Linked DNA regions of Stegostoma tigrinum. The protein of the gene in region 3 interacts with the protein of the main gene of each other region in a pairwise test. Links are inferred from orthologs where the notes say so. Each region holds a gene or a part of one and is shown on either strand. Other genes may lie near its edges.

What was found.
Region 1: the proteins of tex11 (region 3) and efhc1 interact in binary tests that used the Homo sapiens proteins (3 or more experiments, as listed by UniProt). The two-hybrid records come from large-scale screens. The link is inferred for Stegostoma tigrinum from reciprocal best matches to the Homo sapiens genes TEX11 and EFHC1.
Region 2: the proteins of tex11 (region 3) and mad1l1 interact in a two-hybrid assay, tested with the Homo sapiens proteins (2 studies listed by BioGRID and IntAct). The two-hybrid records come from large-scale screens. The link is inferred for Stegostoma tigrinum from reciprocal best matches to the Homo sapiens genes TEX11 and MAD1L1.
Region 4: the proteins of tex11 (region 3) and uncharacterized protein CCDC198-like interact in binary tests that used the Homo sapiens proteins (3 or more experiments, as listed by UniProt). The two-hybrid records come from large-scale screens. The link is inferred for Stegostoma tigrinum from reciprocal best matches to the Homo sapiens genes TEX11 and CCDC198.

The regions. Positions count from the first base shown.
Region 1 is NC_081362.1:98,695,671-98,703,356, forward strand, and holds the start of efhc1 (EF-hand domain-containing protein 1), read left to right. Parts: upstream 1-4,050; 5' UTR 4,051-5,717; coding exon 5,718-5,780; intron 5,781-6,087; coding exon 6,088-6,309; intron 6,310-6,466; coding exon 6,467-6,754; intron 6,755-7,686. UniProt on the Homo sapiens protein: Microtubule inner protein (MIP) part of the dynein-decorated doublet microtubules (DMTs) in cilia axoneme, which is required for motile cilia beating.
Region 2 is NC_081376.1:19,811,010-19,819,799, reverse strand, and holds the start of mad1l1 (mitotic spindle assembly checkpoint protein MAD1), read left to right. Parts: upstream 1-5,316; 5' UTR 5,317-5,337; intron 5,338-5,557; exon of another isoform or gene 5,558-5,628; intron 5,629-5,845; exon of another isoform or gene 5,846-5,953; intron 5,954-8,790. Other genes in the region: nudt1 (oxidized purine nucleoside triphosphate hydrolase), read right to left, coding at 1,597-1,742, 3,512-3,663. UniProt on the Homo sapiens protein: Component of the spindle-assembly checkpoint that prevents the onset of anaphase until all chromosomes are properly aligned at the metaphase plate.
Region 3 is NC_081368.1:40,548,296-40,556,001, forward strand, and holds the start of tex11 (testis-expressed protein 11), read right to left. Parts: upstream 3,360-7,706; 5' UTR 3,259-3,359; coding exon 3,216-3,258; intron 1-3,215. UniProt on the Homo sapiens protein: Regulator of crossing-over during meiosis. Involved in initiation and/or maintenance of chromosome synapsis and formation of crossovers.
Region 4 is NC_081363.1:49,544,989-49,553,001, reverse strand, and holds the start of uncharacterized protein CCDC198-like, read left to right. Parts: upstream 1-4,841; 5' UTR 4,842-4,958; coding exon 4,959-5,187; intron 5,188-6,424; coding exon 6,425-6,507; intron 6,508-8,013. UniProt on the Homo sapiens protein: May be involved in tuning the metabolism, energy expenditure, and excretion processes.

The DNA.
Region 1 (7,686 bases), on a different chromosome or scaffold from region 3:
GAATTATCTTGCAATTATCTCTCCACTTCACCTGATGAAGGAGCAGAAATATGAAAAGCTTGTGATTTAAAATAAACCTATTAGACTATAGTCTGGTATCATGTGTCTTCTGATCTGATTCAAACCATGAAAGATGAACTTCAGTTGGAAATCCATAACCACATGGGGTAAATTGGAGCTGTAGACAGGACACTGAGGAAGGAGATGTGGCTTTGAAAGGTCATTCTAATGAACACCTTATCATACAATAAGAGGGAAATTAAAAGCAAGACTCAAAAACAATAATGGAGGTTGTATTTAGCCCCACTCCCAAACAATAGTAGTAACGTTGAGGAAGGCGTCAATCAAGAAATTGGACTTACAAGCAATTAAGTTATAGCTGTAATTAGGGGCAATTTTAATGTATATATAGAGTAGGTGAATCAAATCGGAAACAATATTACAAAGGAGGAATTCCTGCAGTATGAATGAGATGGTTTTCTGGACCAATGCATTGAAGAACCAACTAAAGAACAGGCCAGAGATAATGGGAACTGCAGATGCTGGAGAATTCCAAGATAATAAAATGTGAGGCTGGATGAACACAGCAGGCCAAGCAGCATCTCAGGTGCTCCTGAGATGCTGCTTGGCCTGCTGTGTTCATCCAGCCTCACATTTTATTATCTAAAGAACAGGCCATCCTAGGCCAGGTCTTGTGTATTGAGAAAAGCATAATTGGCAATCTAAGTGTGCAAGGCCCTTGAGGAAGAGTGATCAAAATATGATAGTATTCTTCATTAGGATGTAGAGTGACACAGTTGATTCTGAGACTAGGCCCTGAATCTAAGTAAAGGAAACTACAATGGTATGACGTTTGAGGCATCTATGATAAATTGGGGAGTGTTACTTGAAGAGATGACAGTGGATATGCAATGGCAAAAATTTAAAATGCGCAAGGAGAAACTGCAACAATTGCTCATTCCTGCCCACAAAACATATGGAAACAGTGGATAACAAGGGGAAGTGAGGGATATCATTAAATCTAAGGAAGGGGCATACAAATACAAAAAAAAGCAACAGTCTTGAAAATTGGGAGCAGTTTAAATTTCAGCAATGAGGACAAAGGGATTCATTAAGAAGTGGAATATTGAGTGTGACACCAAGTATGAGGGATACGTACAAAAAAATTAGTGAAGCCAAATGAAGATCCCTTACACTCAGAAACAGGGGATGTTAAAACGGGAAACAAAGAGATGACAGGCCAATTAAATAAATATTTTGGTTCTGTCTTCACAAAAAAAGGATTCCAATATCACTGCAAAAGTGTTGGGAAACCTGGGCTTCAATGGTAAGGAGGAAGTGAAGGAAATAAGTATTAATAGAGAAATGGTTTTGGGAAAATTGATAGGATTAAATGCCAATAAATCCCCAAGGCTCCATAATCAATATACCACAATGTTTAAGGATATGGTCCAAGGATGCATTTGTGGTCATCTTTCGAGGTTCTATAGACTCTGGAACATTACCTATGGATTGAAGGGTTTCTAATGTAACGCCACTATTTAAAAGCATAGGCAGAGGGAAAAGGAGGAGTGATAGAGGTTGCTCTGATGGTAGTAAGGAAAATGCTAGAGTTCATTATAAAAGATTTAGTAGCTGAATGCTTAGAAAATGGTGACATGATCAGATAGAGTCAGCATGGATTTATGAAAGAGAAATCATGTTTAACAAATCTACCAGAATTTTTTGAGCATCTGACCTATAGAGTTGGTAAATTAGAGCCAATGGATGGAAGATAACAAAGTGTGGAGCTGGATGAACACAGCAGGCCAAGCAGCATCTCAGGAGCACAAAAGCTGACGTTTTGGGCTGAGACTCTTCATTAAAAAGGGGAAGGGGAGAGAAATAAATAGAGAGAGAGGGGGAGGCAGACCAAAGATGGATAGAGGAGAAGATAGGTGGAGAGGACAGTATAGGTGGGGAGGGGATAGGTCAGTCCGGGGAGGACGGACAGGTCAAAGAGGCGGGATGAGGTTAGTAGGTAGGAAATGGAGGTGCGGCTTGAGGTGGGAGAAGGGGATAGGTGAGAGGAAGAACAGGTTAGGGAGGCGGGGACGAACTGGGCTCGTTCCTCTACATTGGGGAAACCAACCGGAGGCTTGGGGACCGCTTTGCAGAACACCTCCGCTCGGTTTGCAATAAACAACTGCACCTCCCAGTCGCGAACCATTTTAACTCCCCCTCCCATTCTTTAGGTGACATGTCCATCCTCAGCCTCCTGCAGTGTCACAACGATTGCACCCGAAGGTTGCAGGAACAGCAACTCATATTCCGCTTGGGAACCCTGCAGCCCAATGGTATCAATGTGGATTTCACCAGCTTCAAAATCTCCCCTTCCCCCACCGCATCCCAAAACCAGCCTAGCTCGTCCCCTCCTCTCTAACCATTCCTGCCACCTCAAGCCCCACCCCCATCTACCCACTAATGTCATCCTGCTTCCACATCCTTTTTATAATGCGGTGACCAGAACTGTACGCAATACTCCAAGTGCGGCCGCACCAGAGTTTTGTACAGCTTCACCATAACCTCTTGGCTCTGGAACTCGATCCCTCTATTAATAAAAGCTAAAACACTGTATGCCTTCTCAACAGCCCTGTCAACCTGGGTGGCAACTTTCAAGGATCTGTGTACGTGGACACCGAGATCTCTCTGCTCATCTACACTACCAAGAATCTTACCATTAGCCCAGTACTTTGCCTTCTGGTTACTCCTACCAAAGTGCATCACCTCACATTTGTCTGCATTAAACTCCATTTGCCACCTCTCAGCCCAGCTCTGCAGCTTATCTATGTCTCTTAGCAATTGTTATCCATTTGTGGAATCCCATTTAATGTTGGAAAATATGTTCTGAGTTTTGCATGCACAGTCTGGTGGAGTACAGTCAGCAGTTTACCTGTTGCAGACGGACAAGGGGACAAGCTGTTTGATATAATCCTTCACTTGTTTGGATTTAACAGCCTACATATCTGCCAATCACAACAGCACTGGATCTCATATGCCCAATTACTCAATTGCATGGAATGCAGAACAACATTTTGGCTCATCAGCAACATTGTGTTAGTGGTGAACAGTTCCCTTGTTGTTTCTGCTTAGGAGCAGAAATAAATGGCTAATGCCATCTGATGCTCAAAATTAATACCATACCCTTCCAACATAATCTGAGGCTGACTGAGCACTTTTCTGGATCAAAAATACAGTCTTAGGTATTTGGGAATTCTTAGTGATCAGGAATAATTAGGAATTGGGAATATTTTAGAAAAGGGAATCAGGAATTATTGGGATCAAGAATATTTGGGTATCAGGAATAATTGGGAACATTTGGGGATTGGGAATATTTTGGGGTCAAGAATACTTTGATTAATGGGAATTGGATACATTGATAAATGGGAATATTTAGGAATTAGGAACTTTGGGGGAATTTGGGATATTTAGGGAACAGGAGTGTATGGGAATTGAGAATGATTGGAGATTGGAAATTGGAAACATTTGGGAATTATCAATACTTGGTACATTTGGGAAATGGAATACTTGGGGACTAGGACTGATTGGAATTGGAAATAGAAGTTGGGAGTTGCTATTGGGAAATTGGAATTGGCACTATTTGGGAACTGGGAATTGTTTGGAATTGGGAATGATTGAGGATGAGGAATATTTGGGAAATGAAAATTGGAAATGATTGAGGATTGGGAATATTTAGGAAATGAGGATTGTTGGGAATTGGAAATGATTGAGAATTTCGATTATTTGGGAGATGGGAATTGGGAATGATTGAGGATTGGGAATATTTGGGAAATGGGGATTGTTGGGAATTGGGAATGAGTGAGGATTGGGCACATTTGGGAGATGGGGTTTGTTGGGAATAGGAAATGATTGAGGATTGGGAATATTTGGGAGATGGGAATGTGGTTAAAAACAAGGAGAAAAGCGACTCCGATTCTCAGCCAATCCGCCCTCGGATTGACGTGTTGCCGAGTGAGCCTGGCTTGTTTACTGTTTCCATAGAAACAGATTCGGAGCTAAACCGAGAAGAAAAAACCGGTTATCACCGAGAGAGACAGAGTGTGTGTGTGTGGGTGAGAGAGAGAGAGACAGAGTGTGTGTGGGTGACAGAGAGAGACCGAGTGTGTGTGGGTGAGAGAGAGAGAGACAGAGTGTGTGTGGGTGAGAGACAGAGAGAGAGACAGAGTGTGTGTGGGTGAGAGACAGAGAGAGAGAGTGTGTGTGGGTGAGAGACAGAGAGACAGTGTGAGTGGGTGAGAGAGAGACACAGAGAGACAGAGTGTGTGTGGGTGACAGAGAGACACAGAGAGACAGAGTGTGTGTGGGTGAGAGAGAGAGAGACAGAGTGTGTGTGGGTGACAGAGAGACACAGAGAGACAGAGTGTGTGTGGGTGACAGAGAGAGCCAGAGTGTGTGTGGGTGAGAGAGAGAGAGACAGAGTGTGTGTGGGTGAGAGAGAGACACACAGAGTGTGTGTGGGTGACAGAGAAACACAGACAGAGACAGAGTGTGTGTGGGTGAGAGAGAGAGACAGAGTGTGTGTGGGTGACAGACACAGAAAGAGACAGTGTGTGTGGGTGAGAGAGAGACACAGAGAGAGACAGAGTGTGTGTGGGTGAGAGAGAGAGAGAGACACAGAGAGAGACAGTGTGTGTGGGTGAGAGAGAGACACACAGAGTGTGTGTGGGTGACAGAGGCAGAGAGAGAGAGACACTGTGTGTGGGAGAGAGACAGAGTGTGTGTGTGAGAGAGACAGAGAGAGAGAGAGACAGAGTGTGTATGAGAGAGAGAGAGACACACACAGAGAGTGTGCGAGAGACAGAGACACAGAGAGAGAGAGAGACACAGAGAGAGAGACAGAGTATGTGTGTGAGAGAGAGACAGAGTGTGTGTGTGTGAGAGAGAGATAGAGTGTGTGTGTGAGAGAGAGAGAGAGACAGAGTGTGTGTGTGTGTGTGTGTGTGAGAGAGAGACAGATAGAGAGAGACACACAGAGTGTGTGCAAGAGGCAGAGAGACACAGAGAGAGGGAGACAGAGTGTGTGTGCGAGAGAGGGAGAGACACAGTGTGTGTTGTCTGTGTGTGCGAGAGAGAGATACAGAGAGAGGGACGGAGTGTGTGTGTGTGTGTGTGTGTGTGTGTGTGTGTGTGTGAGAGAGAGAGAGACGGAGTGTGTGTGTGAGAGAGAGACACACACATACGCAGACACACACATACAGAAAGACAGTTTTGTGTGCATGAGAGAGGGATAGAGGGACACAGAGAGAGAGAGAGACAGTGTGTGTGAGTGTGTGTGAGAGAGACAGAGAGACACAGACAGAGGGACAGAGTGTGTGTGTGAGAGAGAGAGACACACAGAGTGAGAGTGTGAGAGAGAGAGACGCAGAGACAGGGAGACTGTGTGTGTGTGTGTGTGTGTGTGTGTGAGAGAGAGAGACAGAGAGACCCACAGACAGGAGAGAGAGTGTGTGTGTGAGAGAGAGAGAGAGAGACAGGGTGTGTGCACAAGAGAGATACAGAGTGTGTATGTGACAGAGTGAGTGAGAGAAAGTAGGAGAGAAAGGGGTGTGTGTGTGTGTGTGCGAGAGAGAAAAAAGAAGAGAGACAGAGAGATAGAGTGTGAGACAGAGATAGATTGTGTTGAAGGAGAGGGAGAATTGCCAGCCAGGGCAGAGGCAATGTCCTGCTATCCTGTGCGGGGGCTCCCACTCCTCCCAGGCAATACTTTCCGGGACCCCACGGTGAGAGGGACATCGGGGGGGGGGGGGGGGTCATTGGAGGAGGGAGATGGGTAATGGAGAGATAGAGTATCAGGGAGAGAGAGAAAGAGACGGGGTTATTGGAGGGAGAGAGAAGCAGACGGTGAGGGTGAAGAGCATCGATGAAGGAATGGGCCGAATGGATTAATCCTGCTCCTATATCTCATTGGGTTTTTGAGGAAAGAATGCAAATGAGGCATGGAGAAGATGGCGAGTTAGGGATTATCTTTAAAAAGGAATGAATTACTTGTTCCTGTTTTGATAATTCTATCATTCTAATTGTCTTTAGAAGTCTAACTTCCATCGATCACAGACTTTCTTCTACAAGAACGGCATTGCTGTCCCTGTTGTGCCCAAGGTTGGGATTGGTGGGGAACCAATCCATGTCAATCAGCTGTCTCTGTCTGATGTGGATGAATTGGCTAATAAAAAACCAACATTAACCTATGGCCAGGCCAAACAGGCCCCACCAGCAGATTTCGTTCCTGGGCACGTGGCTTTTGATAAGAAGGTAATGTTTTTGTAATTTGTTCAACATTCGCCCGCTGAACATATTTTCTATTGCCCCCCCTCTCACGGACCATGCCTTCTCCCTCAATCACATGTCCTGCCTCCCATCACCCACATTGTATTCTTTCAGTGAAAGTGTTCTCTCAATTTTTAACCAGGTGTTGAAATTTGACGGATATTTCAAGGAAACAGTTCACGAATCCCCATATGAATATTATCGGGTTCGACCGATCATCCTGTACTATTACCTGGAGGATGACAGTATTTCCATTCATGAGCCAGAAGTGGATAACTCTGGACTAACTCAGGGCAAACTGATCAACAGACAGCGACTCCCCAAGAATGACCAAGGAGATTGCTGGCATTGGAAGGACCTCAATGTCGCCATGGAGGTGGTGGCATATGGAAAGCGATACCGCCTCACTAGCTGTGACAAATTTACATGTGTAAGTTGGCCTTTCACAAACATTATATCATCTTATAAATATGCAAATATAAGGATCAAGAGTCGGCCACTCGGCCCTTTGAGCCTGATATACAATTCAATAAGTTGGTGGCTAATCTGATTTTAATCTCAGCTCTACATTCCTATATATCCTGATGTTCCTTGGTAATCAATAATCTATTTAACCCTTTAGAATTAAGATTCGAATCAGATTTTATTGAAATAACTATGCAGAGACTGCTATGCTGTCACCAAGTCACCTTTTATTTACATGTGCACAATACACTGGCTGTGACGAGCCAGCTCAGAGTTGTTCCCTGAAGTCAGGAGAGTCTCTAATTCCCCTGTTTATATCTGTCAGTTGGGGCTCTCTGATTGGCCCAATTAAGGATCTCACAGTCGATGAGGCCCACCTAGTTCCAATCTCTACATGTTTATTCACATATAGGAGTACAATGAAAAGACTACATCCGCTGGGTCTTGAGGAAGGGAATTCCAAACATTCACAATCCTCTGAGGCAAAAGATGTTTCTTCATCTCTGTTTCAAATGATTTCTCCTTTATTTTTAAAATCATGACCCCCCCAGTTCTAAATTCTCCTACAAAGGGAGCCATCTTTTCTACATTCACCTGGTCAAGTCTCTTTATGTGCTCTCATTCAGTTACCTCTGAGTGTTCAAACTCCAGAGGATACAGGCCTAGACTGTCCAACCTTTCCTATGAAGGGGATCCAGTCATTCCAGATATTAGACTAGGAAGCCTCCTTTGAGCTGTTCCCAACTCATTAAGATCCTTCCATAGAAAAGGGACCTGTACTGTGCATAGTATCCTGATGCAGTGTCACCAATACACTGCTGCTGAGCTTTTCTGGCAACTTCCGATTTTGTTTCTGATTTACAGCACCCACAGTTCTTTCAGTTTTTATTTAGGATT
Region 2 (8,790 bases), on a different chromosome or scaffold from region 3:
ATCTCAAAAATCTATCTACTTACTCTTTAAATACTTTCAGTGATCTAACCTCCACATTTTTCTACAGTGGAAAATTCCAGACATTTGCTGGGAAAGGAAATTCCTTCACATCTCCGTTTTCAATGAGTGTACTCTGATGAGATTTCCTACTAGTTAAAACATCTCAACGTTTACTATTAAACCCATTCAGACTCTTCTATGTGTCAACATGAAAAAAAACTCTCATTCCTGTGAAATGTAATGAATAAAGGCCAAACCAAAAGGCCACTATTGATAAGTCAGCCCCTTCATCCTAGGAATCTACCCAGGTGAAATCTCTTTTGAACTGCCTCCAATGCAAATTGGGAGCAAAATTGTACACAGTACTCCAGTTGTGGCCTCATCAACACTTTGTACAGTTCAACCAGGACTTTCCTACTTTTAAAACTCCAAGCCCCAGCAATAAAGGTCAAAATTTCATCTACCTTTTTAATTATTTGCTCATCTGCATGTTAACTTTGTATTTCAGGCACAAGAACACCCAGACCTTTCTATGTTGCACTCTCTTTGGAGTCTCCCCTCTTTCAAAAAATAATTTGCTTATTGATTCTTCCTACCAAAGTGGATGACCTCACACTTCCCGTGATTAAACTCTGTCTGCCATGCTTTTGCCCATTCAACCTATTGATATTGTCTTGCTGATACCTTTTGATCTCATCACAACATAACCTCCCACCTATTTTTGTATCATCAGCAAATATGGATGCAACACATTTTGTCCCCTCTTCCATCATTAAAATATATAGTATAATTGAGGCTCCAAGATTGATCCTTGCAGCACTTCACTGGTTACATCTTTTCAACCTGAAAAGATCTATTAATCCAGACTCTGTCTTCTTTGTGTTAACCAATACACAATCCACATTAATACACTACCCTCAATACTGTGAGCCCCTATCTTGTGCAATAACTATTTTGTGGCAGCTTATTTAAATGCCTTGAAATCTAAGCATACTACATTTACCAGTTTCCCTTTATCAATTCTGCATGTTATATCCTGAAAGGCCTCCAGTAAAAGACCTCCCTTTCACAAAACTTGACTACTTGATTGTGTTAAGCTTTTCTAAATGTTATTTCTTCCTTAATAATGGATTCTAGCATTTTCCCAGTGACTGATACCTGACCTACAGTCTCTTCTTTTTAACTCCCTCCCTTCCTTAAGTGGTGTCACATTAGCTGCTTTCCAATCTGTAGGAACTCTCCAGAAATTCAGAGAGTTCTGGAATGTTTTGATCAATGCTTCTACTATTCTCCGTAGCAACTGCCTTTAAAGGCCATTAGATCCTGGCAACTTGTCAGCTTTTTGTCCAATGAGTTTGTCAATTACTTTGTCACTCATTATAAGGACTGTTCAAAGATCTTTTCCACTATTAGCACCTTGTTTATTTTACTGTCTTCCATCTCCAACAATTATGTAAAAAAAACTGGTTTACATGATCTGCCATTGTCTTGTTACCCATTAAATCCCCGGTTGCACTGTCCAATGATCCCACACTTACTAGAGCTACTCTCTTTTCTAAGTACCCAATGAATTACTTTTAAAGCAGGGTCACTTACCATCTGATTCCATTGGTTCCCCTTTGTAACTATCTGTAAGGAATATGTGAACATCCAGTAGTTCTGCCTCATCTACAAATTCAAACTTGATTCGTCCAATTTTTTCCAGGCTGTCCACAGTCAGACTGCTCTCCTCCCATAATTCTCTGAGGAAGAAATTAGCTTAACTTCAAGAACAAATTTAAAAGAGGTTTCAAAAAAACATTTCAAATAGCTGGAACAGAGGACACGGTCAGTCAGACTCTTCTGTTTACCTCTAACATTTAATGAGATTATGTCTTGTCAGTACCTCAATTCCATTGAGCAGACTGAATTACATTAACTGACTCGCAGAATAAAAAAAGGCCAACATTTTCACTGATACCTTGTGTTTACAGGAAGCATGGTACTAACCCTCCCCAGACTAAAGGCTTCTGGATTTGAACATTTATCTGTGATGAACTATACAATTTTTAAAAAGGAGCCTGAGGCAGACTGCGCAAGTCGATAAATTTCCAGAATTTGGATTTTTGAAGAAGAAATGAATTTAGTTAATACTGTGGGGGAGTTCATCAGAAATTCATTTGAACAGTGACCTAAATAGAAGATTTCTAAGTACAACATGAGACATCAGTCAACTATGGGATGAAATTCTTCTCCTGATGAGCTTATTAACAGTTGAATAAATATATCATGGAATTTGTTTCATTTTGACTTCAAAGCAGAAGAAATAAGTCACTTTTACAGAAGTAGTTTTGAGTCAGTGGAGCTTCAAAGCAGGAAGAATTCATATAGAAATCATTCATGTTAGAAATGAGAAAGTTTACACAGTCAGAATTGTCTCATGTTAACAGACTCAGAAAGCAATCATAACAGTTAATTAAAGGTTTAAAAAGCTGAGATAAGAGTGCTATTTCTCAGGAATGGACTTTCTGTAAAGGACTGGTGTTGGGAAATAAGATGAAACTTTGTTTTGGTGTTTGTGTTAAGAGTATTTTTAAACTGTGTTGTGTGTGTATATTATACAGTTTTGTTTATTTATTCCTCTTTTGTGTCGTAAATTTATGTTCTGTTGTATCTGCAGCCTTGTGAGAATGTTTCAGTGACTAACTGTCATGATAAATAACTGCAAAGATTAAACATTTGAATCATCAAACCAAGTTTCATTGTCAGACCTGACTTGTGACTGTTACCATCAGGTGGGGTTACATAATAGTACCAGTAATTCAGTTATGTGGAGAAACTGGAGAAGTTGGGGCTGTTCTCACACACCAGAGACATAGGCATCATCAACAAGGCCAGTTTTTGTTGCTGTTCCATTTCAGAGGGCAGCTAAGAATTGAATACACTGTTTTGTGATCTGGAGTTACACATAGGCAACACCGGGTAATGATGGCAGATTCATGAAGCAGATGGGTTTTTACAACAAAGTTTCATAGCTACTAGTACTGACACCAGCTTTCGGTATCAAACTCAGTGATTGAACTTAAATTCCAGCAGCTGCTGCGGTGGATTCTGAACCCATGTTTCCAGTGAAAGTTAAGGGACAACTCAATAGAGGTACCCAAAATGTTGAGAGGTTTTGAAACAGCAGATTGGGAGAAAACATTTCCATTCGCGGGACAGCAAGTAACCAGAGATCACGGTTTTAACATAGTTAGCAATATAAAACAGAGAGGGTACGAGAAGAATGTATGTTTTACAAAGTGAGTTCTGATGATTTGGAATGTATTGCTTCAAAAGACGTTGAAAGTAGGTTAAATAATAGCTTTCAGAAAGAAATTGGGTATGTGTTGGTCAGGATACAATTAGACCTGCCTGTCACGTCCTCTTTTGTTGTACAGAATGCCAATGCAGCATGGCTGCTATGGACCCCGGTGAGAGTGATCACCTTTGTCAGGAGCATGAAGGGAACAATAAATAGCACAGGCATTACCTTTTTGCTCCTTCTTCAATGGTTTCTCCAGGCTGCACTTTGCCTCCAAAACCATTCCAGCGATTGGCCCCAAAACCCCGTTTCTTCCATCCCAGGAGGATCTTTTGTTGCCTTACAACCATCACCAGAGTCAACAGCTTTGTGGTGATCATCTTTCTGCAATAGTATTTTCTCAATAGCTGGCAGCTCTTGGTCGGGAAGAAATTGTGTAGAACAGCTTTGGAACCACATTCAATAACTTGCAATTGATGTATAGTTAAATTTCCAAGATGCTCCTCAGGAACATAAAACAAAAATACCTGTGATCAAGTCACATAATGAGATTTTAGGACAGGTGGCAAAAACAAGGCCAACGTTTTTGGTTCTAAACAAAGTCTTAACGGGTGAGAGCAGAGATTTAGAAATGGCATTCAAGAGTTTGGGGCAAAGAAGCTGAAGATATGGTCACACAGGGAATTGTTGATGTAACACAGGCCAGAGCTCAAAGCTCTGGAGACTGCAAAGATCATGAGGAAATGAAGCTTTGAAGCAGCTACCAACTCTGATAGTGTGATTCCATTGAATCATAAAACAAAAAAACCTCCATGCTCGCTCCTCAGAAGGCAGCAGAATTTGCCAGGACCATGTTCAGAAAAGAATGTGCACTGATGTAATGCTTTTCATGTCTTCTGTAAGTCCCAATTTAATTCTTCAAACGCATGCACTTCTAATGTAATCTTATCACTAGAACACATTTGCACAGGTATATGAATAGAAAAGGTTTAAGAGGGATATGAGCCAAACACAGGCAAATGGGACTTGTTTAGTTTGAGAACATGGTCAGTATGGACTGTTTGAATCTGTTCGCATGTGGTTACTGCCACTGCCTTGTCTCATTTCCTCCTTTTTAAAAGTGCCATTGTTTTGATCATCTTTTCACAAAATTCCAAAACAATGCAAATGTTTATAAAACAGTCATCACTGCTCCTAGAATTCGAGGAAATCAGCTCCAACACTGAAAATACCTCAAAAAACAAACAGCTCTTAACAGCCACTATTTTTTCCTGTCCTCTATCTTGGAGGGACATGGATAGAGTAAATAGACAAGGTATTTTCCTCTGGGTGGAGAGGAAGGGGGAAGTCCAAAACTAGACAGCACAGGTTTAAGATGAGAGGGGAAAGATTTGAAAGAGACCTCAGAGGCAACTCTTTCAAGCAGAGGGTGGCGTGTGTATGGAATGAGCTGCCAGAGGAAGTGGAGCAGACAGGTTCAAATACAACATTTAAAAGGCATCTGGATGGGTATATAAATAGGAAGGGTTTAGACGAATATGGGCTAAATGCTGGAAATGGTACGAAATTTACTTCGAATATCTGGTCGGCATGGCCGAGTTGGACGGAAGGATCTGTTTCCACGCAGTTCACTCTGTTAAGTGCGTTTTCCTAAGTTAAGGACAACTAAAACTAAAAATTTACATCAGAACAATGTATCCATGGAGGGAAAAAGCAGAGTTAACGGGTTCGAGTCCAAAAAGAGTTCATGGACTGGAAATGTCAACTCTTTCTCTGTTCACAGATGCTGCCAGACCTATTGAGTTTCTCCAGCGCGCTGTTTTTTGTTTCACATTTCAAGCAGCCGGAGTTCTTCATGTGATTATAATAAACAATGTATCCATTTCTGGCTTTCGATGAAAGGAAGATTTGTTACATTTGTGATCCTGGGTCAGGTACCTGATTGACTGAACTCTTTACATCCGCAGACTGCACTCTCTCCTGGATTAGCACAGGGGCCACCAAGCACCAACGATTAGAATCGATTCATTACTCGCCGACAGCTGTCGCACGAGGTGAGTTACATTCTGCACACGCCGGCTGGAAACATAATATAAGAGCATTTTTGTATATCGTTGTATTGAAGTAACGCAGCTACTTCAAAGCAGGATGATTACATTTCCGTTGATATGTATTTATTCTCTTATATTTTATTAATATCGTGGCGACTGGCGCAAGACTTTTGTTTTCTAGAGTCTACTTTGACTGGAAGTGTTTGTGGAGTTGTGTTTGGTTGGGGGACAGAGTTAGTTGTGACTCGCGGAGCTGGGAGCTCGGTGTTGAGCGCTTTCGCGCCATATCGCCTGGTAAAGGCCCAGTTTGCGTTTTGCATTGATTTAAAAGCGTTTTATCTCCTTACCGAACGTTTCGTAAAGAACCTAGCACTTACAGCGCTGTTACTTATCTTAAGTGTCACCGCAACTTGTATTCATATAGCGCCTCTGACATAGTGATCCGCTCCCCCGCCGCTCTGAATTGGAATGTCATGAGAAAGATTTCAAAACCGAACCACATAAGAAGGTGCTCAGTCAGAAAACCGAATAATTTGGCTTTGGAGGGCCGCTAAAGGAGGGGAGGGATTGAGATATTTAGGGAGGAAAATTACGGAGATTGTGACCCGGACAGCTGAAGGTATGGCTGCTAGCGTTGGAGCGAATATAACCAGGGATGTACTAGACCTGAGATAATGGGAACTGCAGATGCTGGAGAATCCAAGATAACAAAGTATGGAGCTGGATGAACACAGCAGGCCAAGCAGCATCTCAGGAGCACAAAAGCTGACGTTTTGGGCCTAGACCCTTCATCAGAGACGGGGACGGGGAGAGGGTTCTGGAATAAATAGGGAGAGAGGGGGAGGCGGACCGAAGATAGAGAGAAAAGAAGATAGGTGGAGAGGAGAGTATAGATGGGGAGGGGATAGGTCAGTCCAGGGAAGACGGATAGGTCAAGGAGGTGGGATGAGGTTAGTAGGTAGGAAATGGAGGTGCGCCTTAGGGTGGGAGGAAGGGATGGGTGAGAGGAAGAACAGGTTAGGGAGGCAGAGACAGGCTGGGCTGGTTTTGGGATGCAGCGGGGGAAGGGGAGATATTGAAGCTGGTGAAGTCCACATTGATACCGTTGGGTTGCAGGGTTCCCAAGCGGAATATGCGTTGCTGTTCCAGCAACCTTCGGGTGGCATCATTGTGGCACTGCAGGAGGCCCATGATGGACATGTCATCTAAAGAATGGGAGGGGGAGTGGAAATGGTTTGCAACTGGGAGGTGCAGTTGTTTATTGCGAACCGAACGGAGGTGTTCTGCAAAGCGGTCCCCAAGCCTCCGCTTGGTTTCCCCAATGTAGAGGAAGCCACACCAGGTACAGTGGATACAGTATACGATATTGGCAGATGTGCAGGTGAACATCTGCTTAATATTGGAAAGTCATCTTGGGGCCTGGGATGGGGGTGAGGGAGGAGGTGTGGGGGCAAGTGTAGCACTTCCTGCGGTTGCAGGGGAAGGTGCCGGGTGTGGTGGGGTTGGAGGGCAGTGTGGAGCGAACAAGGGAGTCACGGAGAGAGTGGTCTCTCCAGAAGGCAGTCAAGGGTGGGGATGGAAAAATGTCTTGGGTGGTAGGGTCGGATTGTAGATGGCGGAAGTGTTGGAGGATGATGCATTGTATCCGGAGGTTGGTGGGGTGGTGTGTGAGAACGAGGGGGATCCTCTTTGGGCTGTTGTGGCGGGGGCGGGGTGTAAGGGATGTGGATGTGAGTTTGCTCGCTGAGCTGGAAGGTTAGTTTTCAGACGTTTCATCACCATTCTAGGTAACATCATCAGTGAGCCTCCGACGAAGCGCTGGTGTTATGTCCCGCTTTCTATTTATCTGGTTAGGTTTCCTTGGGTTGGTGATGTCATTTCCTGTTCTTTTTCTGAGGGGATGGTAGATTGGCTCCAAGCCAATGTGTTTGTTGATGGAATTCCGGTTGGAATGCCATGCTTCTAGGAATTCTTGTGCATGTCTCTGTTTGGCTTGTCCTAGGATGGAGTTGTTGTCCCAATCAAAGTGGTGTCCACTTTGTAAGGATACGAGTGATAGTGGGTCATGTCGTTTTGTGGCTAGTTGATGTTCATGTACCCTGGTGGCTAGCTTCCTGCCAGTTTGTCCAATGTAGTGTTTGACACAGTTCTTGCAAGGTATTTTGTAGATAACGTTCGTTTTATTTGTTGTCTGTATAGGGTCTTTTAAGTTCATTAGCTGCTGTTTTAGTGTGTTGGTGGGTTTGTGGGCTACCCTGATGCCAAGGGGTCCGAGTAGTCTGGCAGTCATTTCGGAAATGTCTTTGATGTAGGGGAGAGTGGTTATGGTTTCTGAGCCCGTTTTGTCTGTTTGTTTGGGTTTGTAAGGGATGTGTTGCGAGAAATGCAGGAGATGCGGTCAAGGGCGTTCTCGACCACTGCGGCGGGGGGGAAGGTTGCGGTCCTTGAAGAACTTGGACATCTGGGACCTCAAGCCGCACCTCCATTTCCTACCTACTAACCTCATCCCACCTCCTTGAGCTGTCCGTCTTCCCTGGACTGACCTATCCCCTCCCTACCTATACTCTCCTCTCCACCTATCTTCTTTTCTCTCCATCTTCGGTCCGCCTCCCCCTCTCTCCCTATTTATTTCAGAACCCTCTCTCCATCCCCCTCTCTGATGAAGGGTCTAAGCCCGAAACGTCAGCTTTTGTGCTCCAGGGATGCTGCTTGGCCTGCTGTGTTCATCCAGCTCCACACTTTGTTGTCATATAGTAGACCTGAATTAGAGGAACGCTGTGAAATCAGAAGGTTGTAGCAGGGAAAGGAGATTGGTTAAATTAAGAGTTTTACACACAGCCAATCCCTATCTGAATCCATTCGCTCATGCCATGGTCCACCTACAAGTTTGCTTTTTCTTGCTGGTCAGCCACATACCATTTCGTATCGGACTAACTAATTCTTCCAATGCTCTATTCTCTGCAACCAGCACTGAATTCTGTGAAATCAGCTTTTCGGATCCGCTGACCTTTCATTCTCAGACGTTAGCTCTGCTGCCTCTCCACAGATGCTGCTAGGCCGGATAAGGCTTTCCAGCAATTCTTGTTTTTGTTCTAGATTTCCAATATCCGCTGTTCTTTGTTTTTCGTTTCCTGAGTTCCGTGTCCGACTAATACTTATCGGTACCGTGTTACTGGAGTGGACAGGGGAGACTTATTTCCACTAGCGGAGATTTCAACTATCTAGGGGACAGAAATTGGCCAAACGATTACGCGTGGTTTGAGAAAAAGCTTTTTCAACCAAGACATTGAGTGCCTGGAATTTGCTGCCCAATTCAATAGTTGAGGCGGAAATCTTCAACTTGCTTAAAAAGAACCCAGATCTATAGCTGGAGTACTATAACCTGCAGAGCTACCATCCAGGTGCTGCCACACCCACAATGGGCTGAATGGCCTCTTTCAGTGCTTTGACTTTCCT
Region 3 (7,706 bases):
ACACACACACTCCCCACACACACACACACACACACATTCACCCCCAACACAAACACATATTCCCCCCCCACACACACACACACATTCCCCCCCCACACACACACACACACATTCCCCCCCCACACACACACACACACACTCGCTCCCCCCACCCACACACTCACACATTCTCCCCCCCCACGCACACACACACATTCCCCCCCGACACACACACACACACATTCCCCCCCACACACACACACATACATTCCCCCCACACACACACACACATTCCCCCCCCACACACACACACATTCCCCCCACACACACACACATTCCCCCCCCACACACACACACACATTCCCCCCACACACACACACATTCCCCCCACACACACACACATTCCCCCACACACACATTCCCCCACACACACACACACACATTCCCCCACACACACACACACACATTCCCCCCCACACACACACATTCCCCCCCACACACACGCACACATTCCCCCCCACACACACACATTCCCCCCCACACACACGCACACATTCCCCCCCACACACACGCACACATTCCCCCCCACACACTCACACTCCCCCCCACACACACACACTCCCCCCCCACACATACTCCCCCCCCCCCCACACACACACACACACACACATTTCCCCTCCCCCCCCACACACACATTCCCCCCACACACACACATTCCCTCCACACACACACACTCCCCACACACACACACACACACACACATTCCCCCCCCCACACACACACACACACACACACACACACATTCCCCTCCCCCACCTACACACACACACCCATTCTCCCCCCCCGCACACACACACATTCCCCCCCCACACACACACACATTCCCCCCCACACACATACACATTCCCCCCCCCCCACACACACACATTCCCCCCCCACGCACACATATTCCCCCCCCACGCACACACACATTCCCCCCCCCACACACACACATTCCCCCCACACTCACACACGCACACACATTCCTCCCCCCCACACACACTCATTCCCCCCCACACACACACATTCCCCCCCCACACACACACATTCCCCCCCCACACACACACATTCCCCCCCCACACACACACATTCCCCCCCCACACACACTCATTCCCCCCCAACACACACTCATTCCCCCCCCACACACACATTTCCCCCCCACACACACATTTCCCCCCCACCACACACACATTTCCCCCCCACCACACACACATTTCCCCCCCACCACACACATTTCCCCCCCACCACACACATTTCCCCCCACCACACACACACACAATCCCCTCCCACACACACACACATTCCCCCCCCACTCACACACAGATATTCCCCCCCACGCACACACATTCCCCCCCCACGCACACACATTCTCCCCCCGCCACACACACACACACACACACACTCCCCCCCACCCACACACACACATTCCCCCCCACACACACACATTCCCCCCCTACACACACAAACACATTCCCCCCCCTGCACACACACAAACACATTCCCCCCCTACACACACACATTCCCCCCTTACACACACACATTCTCCCCCACCCCCACACACACACATTCCCCCCCTACACACACACATTCCCTCCCCCCCCACACACACACACACTCCCCCCCCACATACACACAAATATTCCCTCCCCCCACACACACACATTCCCTCCCCCCACACACACACAATTTCGCACCCCCCACACACACAAACACATTCCCCCCCCAACACACACACCTCCCCCCACACACACACACACACACACTCTCCCCCCCCCCCACACACACACACACACACACACACACACACACACACTCCCCCCCCCACACACACACATTCTCCTCCTCCCACACACACACTCAGATTCCCCCCCACACACACACACAGATTCCCCCCCCACACACACATTCCCCCCACACACACACATTCCCCCCACACACACACACACATTCCCCCCACACACACACACACATTCCCCCCACACACACACATTCCCCCCACACACACACATTCCCCCCCCACACACACATTCCCCCCCACACACACATATTCCCCCCAACACACACTCACGTCTTCCCCCCCCACACACACACATATTCCCCCCCACACACACGCACACATTCCCCCCCACACACACGCACACATACCCCCCCACACACATATATTCCCCCCCCCACACACACACACATAATCCCCCCCCCACACACACACACATAATCCCCCCCCCACACACACACAATCCCCCTCCACACACACACATAATCCCCCCCCCACACACACACATAATCCCCCCCCACACACACACACATAATCCCCCCCCACACACACACATAATCCCCCCCACACACACACATATATTCCCCCCCCCACACACACACATATATTCCCCCCCCCACACACACACATATATTCCCCCCCCACACACACACACACACATTCCCCCCCCACACACACACACACACATTCCCCCCCCACACACACACACACACATTCCCCCCCCCACACACACACACACATTCCCCCCCCCACACACACACATTCCCCCCCCACTTACACACATATTCCGCCCCCCCACACACACACATACATTCCCCCCCACACACACACACTTCCCCCTCAACTCACACACACACACACGCACACACACACACTTCGCCACCAACAAACACACACAGACTTCCCCCCCAACACACACACACACACACACACACACACTCTCTCTCTCTCTCTCTGAACACCCTCACACACACACACAGGTAGACATACACTAAATCTATTGAGTGAATTTGTATTTGCTGATACATTCCATTTTGTTCAAAAAGCACACAATTTGTAGGCATTCAGTCAATGTATGGTTTTATAAATTCATACTTTAGAAATAAAACTACTTTGATTCTAATCTAAAACATAAACACATTCTAATCAAGGTCTCACATCTAACATGAACTATCTGATGTAAAATGTCACCCTTGTTTACACTGATAAAACCTTGAGTTCTCTCCGGACCAAGATTAAAGATTTAACAGCATCCTATGTTTCTTTAGGATATCCTCAATGTTGTGATCCTTTGATCTTTTACTTACAAATTGTGTCTGATACTACCTCTTACACTAACATGTGAAGGAGGACTGAGGGTCCGAAAGCTCGTGTTTTGAAATTAACCTGTTGGACTGTAACTTGGTGTCGTGTGATTTCTGACCTTGTCCACCCCAGCCCAACAATGGCTGCTTCACATCATGCATATTCGTTGATGCTGGATGTCTTGGTAGCTGTAAGGTTCCATGATTTCTCAGTTAGTTGTTGCCTTAGATCCGGTTCACTGTTCTTTTAGAGTTGTTGTGCGAATTGGATTTTCTAACTGAATGATGGTTCCAGGCAGCTGTCCCTGTGACTATGTATTTCCCCAGAGCATCGACTAGCTGTTGTTTTCTTTAATTTTAGAAGTTCTGTCACAACTCCAGGATTTTGTTAGAAGGCAAGGGTTTTTGGTACAGTATTTAAAATGATAGGGATACTACAATGCTGAGGCTGATTGATTAAGGACCATGTAGAGAGGCAAATATAGACAGCATGAGAGTGGGGAGCAAGAGCGAGCAGAGACAGCAAGAGACAGACAGACAGAGAGACACAGAGGGGAGAGCAGGAGAGCAAGGCAGTGATAGACCCCTGTTCCCAAGAATGCGGCTTCACCCATGGGTCACTTGCCCCAGTAGAGGAATTTGGCCGTGCACCCCATGCCCCAGAATGTGACATCACACACAGGTGCCTCGCCCCAGAATGTGATTCCAATCATGAGCCCACCGCCCCAGAATGTGACTTTGACCGCAGGCTCCTCGGCCCAGAACGTGACATTGCACACAGGCCCCTCATCCCGGAAGTCGACAGCGCACTTGGACCCCTCGCCTCAGAATGTAACATCTGCTGCGGGGGCCTCACCCCAGAATGTGACTCTGATAGCATGCGCCCTCACCCCAGCCTGCAACACAAATGCAGGACCTTCTCACTAGACAGCTTAACAACTAAAAACAACTTGAAATCTGGCAAACCACCTCCCTCTGCTTGACTGCGTTTACTCTCCCCACACTGCTTGACTGCAGACCACTTGTTGAATGCAAAGCTAATTGTATACCCTTCTCCCTAGAATATGACCACGCCCGCACACCCTTTGCACCAGGCTGCACTGCCCTCTGGCAATCAATCACCCGAGGCATAGCACACGTTTTTCTGGCCAGACCATGATACCAACCACAGGACCCTCTCCACAAAATGCCACACTGATTGCTAACTACTCTTCCAAAAATGCTCAACCGCAGGGTACTATCCCAGAATGACATCATTGTAAGGGTCCTGTTTACACGTTGATCGATTGCGGGCATGCGTCAGATGGCTCAACCGTAGTCCACACACTGCAAACATCTTGACTGCCTGGCTCTCTCCACACAGGGCACAAAAGCAATGCCAATGTCAGTCCAATTGCCCTAGGCTTGCCAACTGTTCTCTCCAAAATACATGTCTACAACTCCAATTTCAATTCGCTCAAAGCAGATAGCTCAATTGCGATGCCGAATGCAGACCAAATTTCCAGACTCCAACACTGACTGTGGGCCACACTTCCCAGATTAGATGACCATAGACCACTTGTCCCATACTGTTTGAACACATGCAACTTTCAAAGACTACAATGGTGATCATGGCCCATTTTTCCAAGACTGCATAAACACAGGCCATTCATCAGAGTTCATTCCAGCTTGGATCCCAGGTCCGATCCTCCTCCACCGTGACATATTCCCCAACTGCTCAAACTCTGGCCAATCAGACCACACTGTTCAACAGCTGACCACTTGCCCCTTCCCCCAGACTGCAACACCGACACGGGCTGCTGGACCCAGTAGGCAATATCAACTGCAGGCCCCCTAATTGGACTGACGCTCACAGTGGGCCAATCTGACCAGAATGCAATGCCAAACATGGGCCCTTCATCCCACAATGAGACATCTACCACAGGCCCCTCACTTCAGCCTGCTCGAATGCGACACTGACTATACGTCCCTTTCAATATATTGCAAAACAGCGAAGATGGCTCAAATTCTGCCCACCCATCCGAGACTGCTCGACAGCATGTAATCTCTTCAGACTTTTCAACTAGAGGCAGAGTCAGAGAACACAGAAACCAGTTCATGCCGACTACAGTTCCAACGAAATTAGTCCCACCTGCCTGCACTTGGCCCATAGCCCTCTGAACAGTTCTTATTCATGTAGTTAACTAAATGTCTTTTAGACATTGTAACTTTTCTGCATCTAACACATTCCCTGCAAGTTCATTCCACTCACCAACCACTCTGTGCAAATAAACTGCCCCTCGTGCATTTTTCAAATCTTCTATCTCTCAGCTTAAAAATAAGCCCCCAGTCGTGAAATCCCCCACCTAGAGAAAAGATACCTACCATTCACCTTATCTGTATGTCTCATTATTTTATAAGCCTCTATAAAATCATCTCTCAACCTCCTGCATTCCAGTGAATGAAGTCCCAGTCTGTCCAACCCCTCCTTATAACTCAAATCCTTTATTCCTGGAAACATCCTGACCAATCTCTTCTGAAACTTCTCCAACCTAATAAATAATATCCTTCCTATAACAGGGTGATCAGAACTGGACAGAAAATTCCAGAAAAGACCTCACCAGCATAATGACTACGGACTACTCTTTCCAGAATAACTGAAGGCAAAGCTACTGCAAGCAAGTCACCTAGAATGTTAGGAAACAACATTAGGCCCCTCACCCCAGAAAGCTCAACTGCATGTCGCACTTCCCAGACTGACCGCATGTGCCATCAACTTTGGGCACTGTTCCCATACTGCTCTGCCACCAACGTGGCCCATGAACGCAACGCTAACTGCAGGTTTCCTCACCAGTCAATGTGATATATAGAATGTGGCATCAACAGTTGTCCATTCTAATCAGAACGCGATGCCGACCCTGGGGCTCCTTGGTTAGAATGCTCAGCCAACTATAGGTCCCACCCTACAAAAAGCAACGGCAACCACAGGCCACTTTCCCTAGACTGCTCAACCATGGACCACTCTCCGCAGAACGTGATGCAAACCACTACCCGCTTACCCCACAAATACAACACCAATAGCAGGCCCCTCAACCAGAATGTAACGCTGACAGGGCTGCCCTCCCCCAGGGTATCCAGCACCAACATCTGTCCAGTCTCCCCAGAATGCTTAACCGTGGACAACTATCCCAAAACGGCTCAAACACAGGCCACTGTTCCCGTACTGCTCAGCCGTGAGCCACTTTCCCAGACCACTCAACTGATATGCCCATGAATGCAAGGCTGGCTACAAGCCACAGTTCCCATACTGGTCAACACAGGCCACCAACCCCAGACTGTCTGACCGTGTCAGCGTCCCAAGAGTGCTCAACTGAGGGCCACTCTTTGCAGAGTGTTCAAATTTGACACCAACTACAAACCCTTCACCCCAGAAAGCAATATGACTCTCAGGTCCCTTGCACACGAAAGCTTGGCCAACCAGTAGCTCCACCCTCCAGAAAGCAATGCCAACAGCAAGCCTCTTGCCCCATGAATGTAAAAAGGACTGCAGGTGCTGTGAATCAGGAACAAAAACAGAAGTTGCTGGAAAAACTCAACAGCTCTGGCAGCATTTGTGCAGAAAAAAAAAATCAGAGTTAATATTTCAGGTCCAGTAGCCCTTCCTCAGTTCTGCTGAGACCTGCTGAGCTATTCCAGCAACTTCTGTTTTTGCCCATGAACATAATGCTGACTGTGAACCCCTCACCCCAGAAAGCAATGCAACTCTCAGGCCATTGCCCAAAAAAGCTCTGTGAACCATGGTTTATTCTCCCCAGAACTGGCCACTCTCTCTACACTGCGGCACCAACTGTGGGTGCCTCCCACAAAATGCGACACAGAAGGCAGGCCATTCTCTCCAAAAAGCATAATTGGAACAGTAAATTTGAGTCACTCGAGTGCAATACCGAATGTGAGCCACTCATCCAAGACGCACTCTCACCAAGTTGTGCAAATGCAACAGTTGTTGATTGTAATGCCCACTCAGATGGATTGGCTGGAAGGGCATTAGAAGAGGCAAACTAAAACTAAAGGCACAGGTGGCCGTAAACGGGGCCCAGAGAAAACAGACAAGCAAGTTATGTACTCTCTCACCCTCATTTACCTCTGCAGCAAATGCAGCAGAGTGCCCTGCCAAAATAGGGAATGAAGTCACACCAGAGGATGCTTAACACACTGAGTTGACAATCTCACTAATTTTTGATTTTAAAAAGGCTGCCAATCTTGGACTAACCAATGATCAAACTATATGTTGGTACAGATTCAGGAAGCTAAATGATATTATTTCTCACTGGAAACCAGTCTATTTTACATGGAAAGTATGAGCGAGAATGATTTGTTCATTTGCAATTGGTCTTGGATTGCTAGATAATCTCTTCCCCAACATGTCTTCCTCAAAATGTTAGAACAATTTGCAATCAATTATTTATTCAAGAGATATTATTGTTATGATCTTCAGGTCAGTGATAATTTAACTAAGTACTGAACAGTCTGGTGCTCTCTGACATAAAGGATGTAACATTAGTGCTTACATAAATGATCGACAACACTAAACAATATTTTAACTGTAAAGCTGTAAATGTTTTTATGACCAC
Region 4 (8,013 bases), on a different chromosome or scaffold from region 3:
AGTATGCTATTATGACAGTATTACTTTTTGAAGCAAAGATCTATGGTATACAATATAAGTATGACAGTTAATAAATTATTAAAAACAACATTATTGCAATTTAAAGTTTATAAAATTACATGGGAATGGGTGTTAGTGTCAAATAAAGTTTTTGTAAAGGTCCTTGCATTGGGTTTTTTATTATTTATTTAATGATATGGTCTTTGGTTAAAAAGAACATTTTTTCCTTTTGATTGTTGTTACTGCATTCAGTTGTATTCTAACACAATCAAAATAAAAGACTGATAGAGCACATGTAAAAGTGTCCTGCTTTTTCATATATTTATCACACTGTGACTATTTGAACACTGTTTAAATGTCCCAGTTAATGCATGGGAAATTTGTGCTGTCAGTTCTACAAATTTTTTTAATGTTTTTAAAACATGGGCAAGGAAACCTTCAGCTGATTACCACGCCCAATCCTCCCTCAGCTGGTGATTCGGTACTCTTCCATGTTGAACAACACTTAGAGGAGGCACTGAGGATGGCAAGGGAACAAAACGTACTCTGGGTGAGGGATTTCAATGTCTTGGGAGCAGTACGACTGATCAAGCTGGTCGGCTCCTAAAGAACATAGCTACTGGATTGAGTCTGCGGCAGATGGTGAGGGAACCAGCAAAAGGGGGAAACCTATTTGACATCTTCCTCATCAATCTACCAGCTGTAGATACATCTGTCCATGACAGTATCAGTAAGACTAACCACACAGTCCTTGTGGAGAAAAGGTCCTGCCTTCACATTGAAAATAACCTCCATCATGCTTCGTGGCACTATCATCGTGTTAAATGGGACAAACTTGAACACATCTAGCAACGCAAGACTGGGCATCCATGAGGTACTATGGGCTATCAACAGCAGCAGAATTGTACTCCAGCACAATCTGTAACCGCAAGGCCCGGCATATTCCCCACTCAACCATTACCTGAAGATGAGGTGTCAACCTGGTGCAAGCCACCAAAGAGGACTAGTTTCACCCCAAACAGCAAAAGCACCAAGTGATAGAGCTAAGCAATCCCATAACCAACTGATCAGATCTAAGCTCTGCAGTCTTTTCGCAGCAATCTTCAGCCAGAAGTGCCCAGTTGATGATCCATCTTGGCCTCCTCCAGTGGTCCCCAGCATTACAGATATCAGTCTTCAGCCAATTCATTTCATTCCACCTGATATCAAGAAACGGTTGGAGACACTGTATACTGCAAAGGTTATGGGCTGTGACAACGTTCTAGCAATAGTACTGAAGATTTGAGTTCCATAACTTGCTGCTCTGCTCACCAAGTTGTTCCAGTGCAGTTACAACACTGACATCTACCTGGCAATGTGGAAAATTGCCTAAGCATGTCCTGTACATAAAAAAGCAGGATAAATCCAATCAGGCCAATTACTGCCCTATCAATCTCCTCTCAACCATCAGTAAAGTGATGGAAAGTGTCATCAACAGTGCTATCAAGCAGCCACTGCTCAGCAATAAACTGCTCAGTGACACCCAGTTTGGGTTCCACCAGGGCCATTCAGCTCCCGACCTCATTACAGCCTTGGTTCAAGGGCAAAAGAGCTGAATTCCAGAGATGAAAGTGACAGCCTTGACATAATGGCGGCATTCAACCGAGTGTGACATCAAGGAGCCCTGGCAAAACTGGAATTAATGAGTATCAGAGGCCAAACTCTCCAGTGTTTAAAGTCATACCTGGCAAATAGGAAGATGATCGTGGTTGTTGGAGGTCAATCATCTCAGCTCGAGGGCATCTCTGCAGGAGTTCCTCAGGGTAGTGTCCTAGGCCCAATGATCTTCAGCAGCTTCATCAATGACCTTCCTTCCATCACAAGGTCAAAGGGGGGGATGTTTGCCAATGATTGCATAATGTTCAGCACCATTCACAACTCCTCAGACACCAAAACAGTCCATTTCCAAATGCAACATGATCAGGGCAATATCCAGATTTGGGCTGACAAGTGGCAAATAACATTCATGCCACACAAATGCCAGGCTATGACCATTAGCAATAAGAGACTATCTAACCATCATCACTTGATATTCAATCGTTACCATCACCGAAGCCCCAACTGTCAATATCATGGAAGTTATCATTGATCAGAAGCTCAACTGGACTCACTACATAAACTCAGTGGGCCACAAGAGCAGATCAGAAGCTAGGATTACTGCAGTGTGTAACTTGCCTCCTCTCTCCTCAAAGTCTGTCCACCGTCTACAAGGCACAAGTCAGGAATGTGATGGAATATTCCCCAGTTGCCTGGATGGGTGCAGCTCCAAGAACGCACAAGAAGCTTGATACCATCCAGGATAAGGCAGCCCGCTTGATTGGCACTACATCTACAAGTATTCACTCCCTCCACCACTGACTCTCCAGAGCAGCAGTGTGTACTGTCTACAAGATGCACTGCAAAAATTCACCAAAGATTCTCAGACAGTGCCTCCCAAACCCACAACCAATTCCAATTAAAAGGACAAGGGCAGCAGAAAAATGGGAACACCACCACCTTCAAGTTCCCCTTCAATCCACTTACCATCCTGACTTGGAAATATATTGCCATTCCTTCACTGTCACTGGGTCCAAATCCTAGGGTTCCCTCCCTAATAGCATTGTGGGTCAACCCACAGCAAGAGGACTGCAACAGTCCAAGAAGGCAGCTCACAACCACTTTCTCAAGGATAACTGGGTATGGGCAATAAATGCTGGCCAGCCAGCGATGCCCACGCCTACAAATTGGAAAAAAAAAGGTCTTTAAAATGAGACTGACACATGGCAAGGGCTCTCTATGCTGCAAAAGATACATTGTTTTGGGGGGGATACAGTGCAGACGTGCTCAAGTGATACTAGAAACAGTAGGGTTAAATTATTAAGACTGGCAACATAAATGTGGTTTGCATTCTTTTGACTGCAGAAGCTTAAGCAATGGTCCAATCAACTCTTGAAAATGTTAAAGAGATTCAGGACAACAGGTATAATAAATCTATTTCCTTTAGTTGGGGATTCCAGGACAAGTTTGAGAATATTAGTAAAAAGGCCCAGAGGACCTTGAGCATTAACATAGAGGCATGGAATAAACAAGGAAATTATTATGCCTCTTTATAAACATGGGTTTGACCTCAACTTAGAAAGGGAGTATAAAAGATTTATGCAAAAGTTTCATGGATGAGGGATTTCAGTTAAATGATACAAAAGCTAGGATTAGTTTTAGAGAATATTGAGAGTTGTTTCAAGTTGTTCAAATTTGTGATTGATCGAGTTAGGGACAAATTGCTGTCATTGGTGAAAGGGTCAAAAAGCAGAGGATACTGAGTTAAGATGGTTGACAAAATAATCAAAGGCAACTTGAGGGAAACCATTTTTATGTAGTTCAGGGTTTTGATTTGGAATGGATTGGTGGATTCAATCATAGCTTTTGAAATGGAAGTGCAATACTATTTGCAGAGAGCCAGCATTGGCTTGAAGGACCAAGTAGCTTTCATATGTGCTTTGTCTATTCTATAATTTGATAAGAGGTACAATAAGTTAATGAAATGAGGAAACACTTCTTAGCTGACCTTTGTCAGAAGTTAACAAGTGATTGAGAAAACATATGGCATATTGACCTTTATTACAAGAGGATATGAGTATTGGAGTGAAGATGTCTTATTGCAATTATGCAGATCTTTTGTGAGTTCACATTTGGTATATTGTGTATGATAAAAACCAAAAAAAACTACGGGTGCTGTAAATCAGGAATAAAAACAAATTTGCTGGAAAAGCTCAGCAGATCTGGCAGCATCTGTGAAGGAAAAAACAGCGTTAACGTTTCGGATCTGGTGACCCTTCCTCAGAGCTATATTGTGTGTGATACTGGTATGTTTACCTAAGGAAGGATATGCTTGTCACAGAGTGAGTAAAACAAAGGTTCCCCAAACTAATTCCTGGGATGGTTGTTTAGTCCTATAAGAGGAAATCAGACGAGCCTATATTCCCTGAAGTTTAGAAGAACGAAAGGTGATTTCATTCAAACAGGGGAAATTCTTACAAAGCTTGACAGCGTAGATACAAGAATGATGTTTCCCCTGGTTGGGGTGTCAAGAACCAGGAGACACAATCTTAGAGGCAGGGGCACACCATTCAGGACTGAGCTGGGAAAGAATTTCTTCACCCAGAAAGTGGTGAATCTTTGAAATCCTCTGACCCATGAGACTATGGAGGATTGCTGTTTAATTATGTCCACAATTGAAATTGATAGATTTCTACATCTTAAAACAGAATCAGGGATAGTGCAGGGAAATAGTGTTGAAGTAGATCAGCTATGATCTCCTTGAAAGGCAGAAGAGACTCAGGGCTGAATGGCCTACTCCTGCTGTCATTTTTAATGCTCTCAGAGATGAGTATAGTATGCCAGGATGAAGATGGGGAATGAAATTTTCTGAGCAATATTGAGAAGGGCACAAGAAGGCTCATTAGATTTGAAAGATTAACCCTGCTTTCTCTTCACAGATGGTGCCAGTTTCTCCAGCAGTTTATGTTTGTTTCAAATCAACATCCGCAATACTTTGTTTTATTGTCACAACACGACCTCTTCCGTTAACTTTTCCAGTGTGCCCTTCGATGGTAAAATAAAGACAGCGATGAACAAAGTAAGGAGCATGCTATCCAGATGCAAATTGCTTTTTAAGAGCGGATTATTCCCTGCCAGTGTTTGTAGGTCAGGCATGACTGAGTTCAGCATTTCAGAGACTTGGGGGGCGGGTGGCTGCAGACCGGAGCGGGGATGGTAACTCTTTAACCCGAGATGGAAGAGTTTGCAACAGGGGCGTTACCTCGGTAACAGAAAGCCTCCCCGGGGAAGCTGTAGTTGATTATAATGGAAATCTCCAAGGCAGACTCAGACCGGCACCTCACACACGCTTGTCCTGATGCTTAGAGAGTGCATGGGCGAAGATGGGTTCGGGATGGTCAAGAGGCCAACGCAAGCTGATCCAGGTGAGGCCGCTACCCGCAGCCCAGGCGGCTATTTGCCCCGGAGTGCAGCGGTACGGCAGCAGCCGGGTAGACAGCTCGCTTGTGATACACGACCACCTGAAGGCAGCCTCTCTGCGCCGAGGGAGCGAACTTCCTCCCCTGAAGGAGGTGCGAAATGGCACTCACGCACTACCCAACCTCAGGCAAGGTAGGTGCAATGTGGGCTCGGAGCGGGGAGGGGGCTTGAGCAATGTCAACGTTCAGCAGGATTTATAGTATTCACTCTCTCTGAATCGTTTTTTGTTTTCACAGAGGATGATTAGCGAAAGATTCGTAAAGTTGGTGTTTTGTACAATCTCCAGATTATTTAGTTCCATTACTCCGTTGGGCGGAAGAGCAGCCTTTTACAAGAGAATCTGTTTGTGCAAATACATTTTCCATTCAGCAGCTTTTCAAGTCCATTAACTTCTGTCTCCACAGTTGATTGTAATTTCTTACAGATCAGGGAGCTCAAGGATTTGTCAGTTTCCTTGTGCATTTCACTTTGTTAATTATTATCCAAATTTACATATAACTTTAGCGTTTGTTTCGGCAAAAAAGGTCATTGGTGTTTTTGTGCTGCTAGTGTTTGACATGGCGACCTGCGAGGACGCTTGGAAGTGCTGTCCATCAGAGGAATTTTGATGTGGCAGTCCACAGTTTCTTGAAGGCAGCAGGTCGGCTGGCGAAGGAGCATGTAGGATACTTGCCTTTATTGGTCAAGGTATTGACTACAAGACCAGGGCAGGCTACGATGAAGCCGGAAGGAAGATGAGTTAGGCCGCAGCTAGAGAGCTGTGTGCAGGTCTGGGCGCCGCTCTATAGTAAGGATATGATTGCACCAGAGATCACCAAGATGTTTGAAGATAAAGCGATCCAGCTATGAAGAGAGACGAGATAGGCCCATCTCTGGAGAAGGGTCTAGGACCGAAACATACTTCCTACTTCTCAGATGCTGCTTGGCCTGTTGTGTTCATCCAGCTCTACACCTTGTTATCCGAGATAGGCTGTGTTTTTTCTAAAGATGGCTGAGGGAGACGCAGGGAACCTGATTGAGGTATACAAAGTTATGAAGGGCATAGCAAACTTTCCCCTTAGGAAGGGGGTCACTAATGGGGTGGGGAGGAGCTGCATTGGCACAGATTTAAGGTATGCAGCAGTAGATTTAAAGGGAATTAAAAAAAATAAATCACACAGGTAAGAATCATCAAAACATTTCAGAAATATTTAGATATCTACTTGAAATGCAAGTGTGTATAAGGCAATGGGCCAAATGCTGGAAGGTTGAATTGGACTTTAATATAATGCTTGATGACCAGCATGGATGTGAATGGGACAAAGGGCCTTTTCCTGTGCTGTAAAAACTGTGTGACTCTATGTTTTTCTTTATATTTTCACCTTTCAAGTACCTCGTGCCTTCTCATTTGAAAGCAGTTTGGATGATGGGGAAAGGAGCATCATCAAAAAACATCCTCCCCGAAAATTTGAGGTGAGAAGTATTTGAACTAAATTATTTTGCAGCTGTCAACATGCCGAGTCTGTTGTAAATTAGTCAAAAAGTAAGAACAGACAGAAATTCTAGCTGGTATCATGTCCTGGGAAATGACTGTCCTAACGCTCAATGGTGAGGATAGTTGGAGGCTGGATGTACACTGAATGATGTTCACCTGGAGCATGTGGAATTGAATACATGGGAATTGTACAGTAAATGGAAACTCTTGATGGGCGGTTACCTGGTCTGGAACTCACTGAAAGGCTCCCCGATTGAATTAGAACTGAAGTCTTTGGAAAATTCAGACTGGCTTCATGGAATCCCTGCAGTGTGGAAGCAGGACTTTCGACCCATTGAGTCAAAACTGACTCTCTGAAGAGCATCCTACCCAGACCCACACCTTACCCTATAAATTCCATGGCTAATCCTCCTACCCTGCACATCCTTGGACTGTGGGAGGAAACCCCAGCACCTGGAGGAAACCCGCACAGACACAGGGAGAATGTGCAAACTCCACACAGTTGCCAAAGGCTGGGATCGAATCCAGGTCCCTGGCACTGTGAAGCAGTAGTGCTAACCACTGAACCACTCTGCTGCCTCAACTTGCCTGAATATTAAGTCAGGAATATCAGATAAGTTTGTTGCAGTACTACAGTGGCCTGAAAATTTGTTGGAGCAGGATTGACAGGAGTCATGTGTAGAACCCTTGAGAATTGCCCAGGAAGTTAAATTTTCTGATGGGTGATTGTCCTGCGTCTGGACTCCTTCAAAAGAGTCAATTAATGTCAATTAATGGAGGGCTCAAATTCATTTAAGCTCAATAGTTACTCTAGAAAGGTAAAAAAAACATTTCTTTGCCATTGGTAACTATCAACTCTTCCCCCAATATCATCATTGGCACTACGACAGCTGCTGAACCCTAACATACCCAGAGTAACATCCTATACCCCTAACTTAACCCCCTTCTTCGCTGGCCTGTTATTGCCACCCTCTCCTTCACTTCACCTCTCCCATCACCCAATGTGTTCCTATTGATGCTAAGATCCATCATCCCTGACCCAAGCTGAACGAGAGATCCAACCCCACCAGCACTGCCTAAATCCCCAATCTACTTGAGCTGGTACCATCTTCCCACCCAGTCTGGCCCTGCTGGACCCAATACCGCTCCCTGACAATAACTGTTCCTCCCTGCAACCTACCATGAGCACCCTCCTGGTACCCTACCTCCCTCATTTACCTAGCACCCTATCTCCCTCACTCACCTGGCACAATGTCTGTCTTACTTTACAGACTTACTGTCTTCTCAGTTATTGTTGGTGGTTTTGGGGCCTTTCATTCCTGAAATACAGCATCATGTCATGAAAAAGAGGCACGTTCTGGCCTGTAATGCAACTCTGACATTGGGTGATTTTCTGCCTGCTTATCTCCCATGGATGCATTCAGGCCAGACCAGACTCAGAATCTTGGCTGGAGAAATCTGCAACAGGTAAATGGGCAATTTTT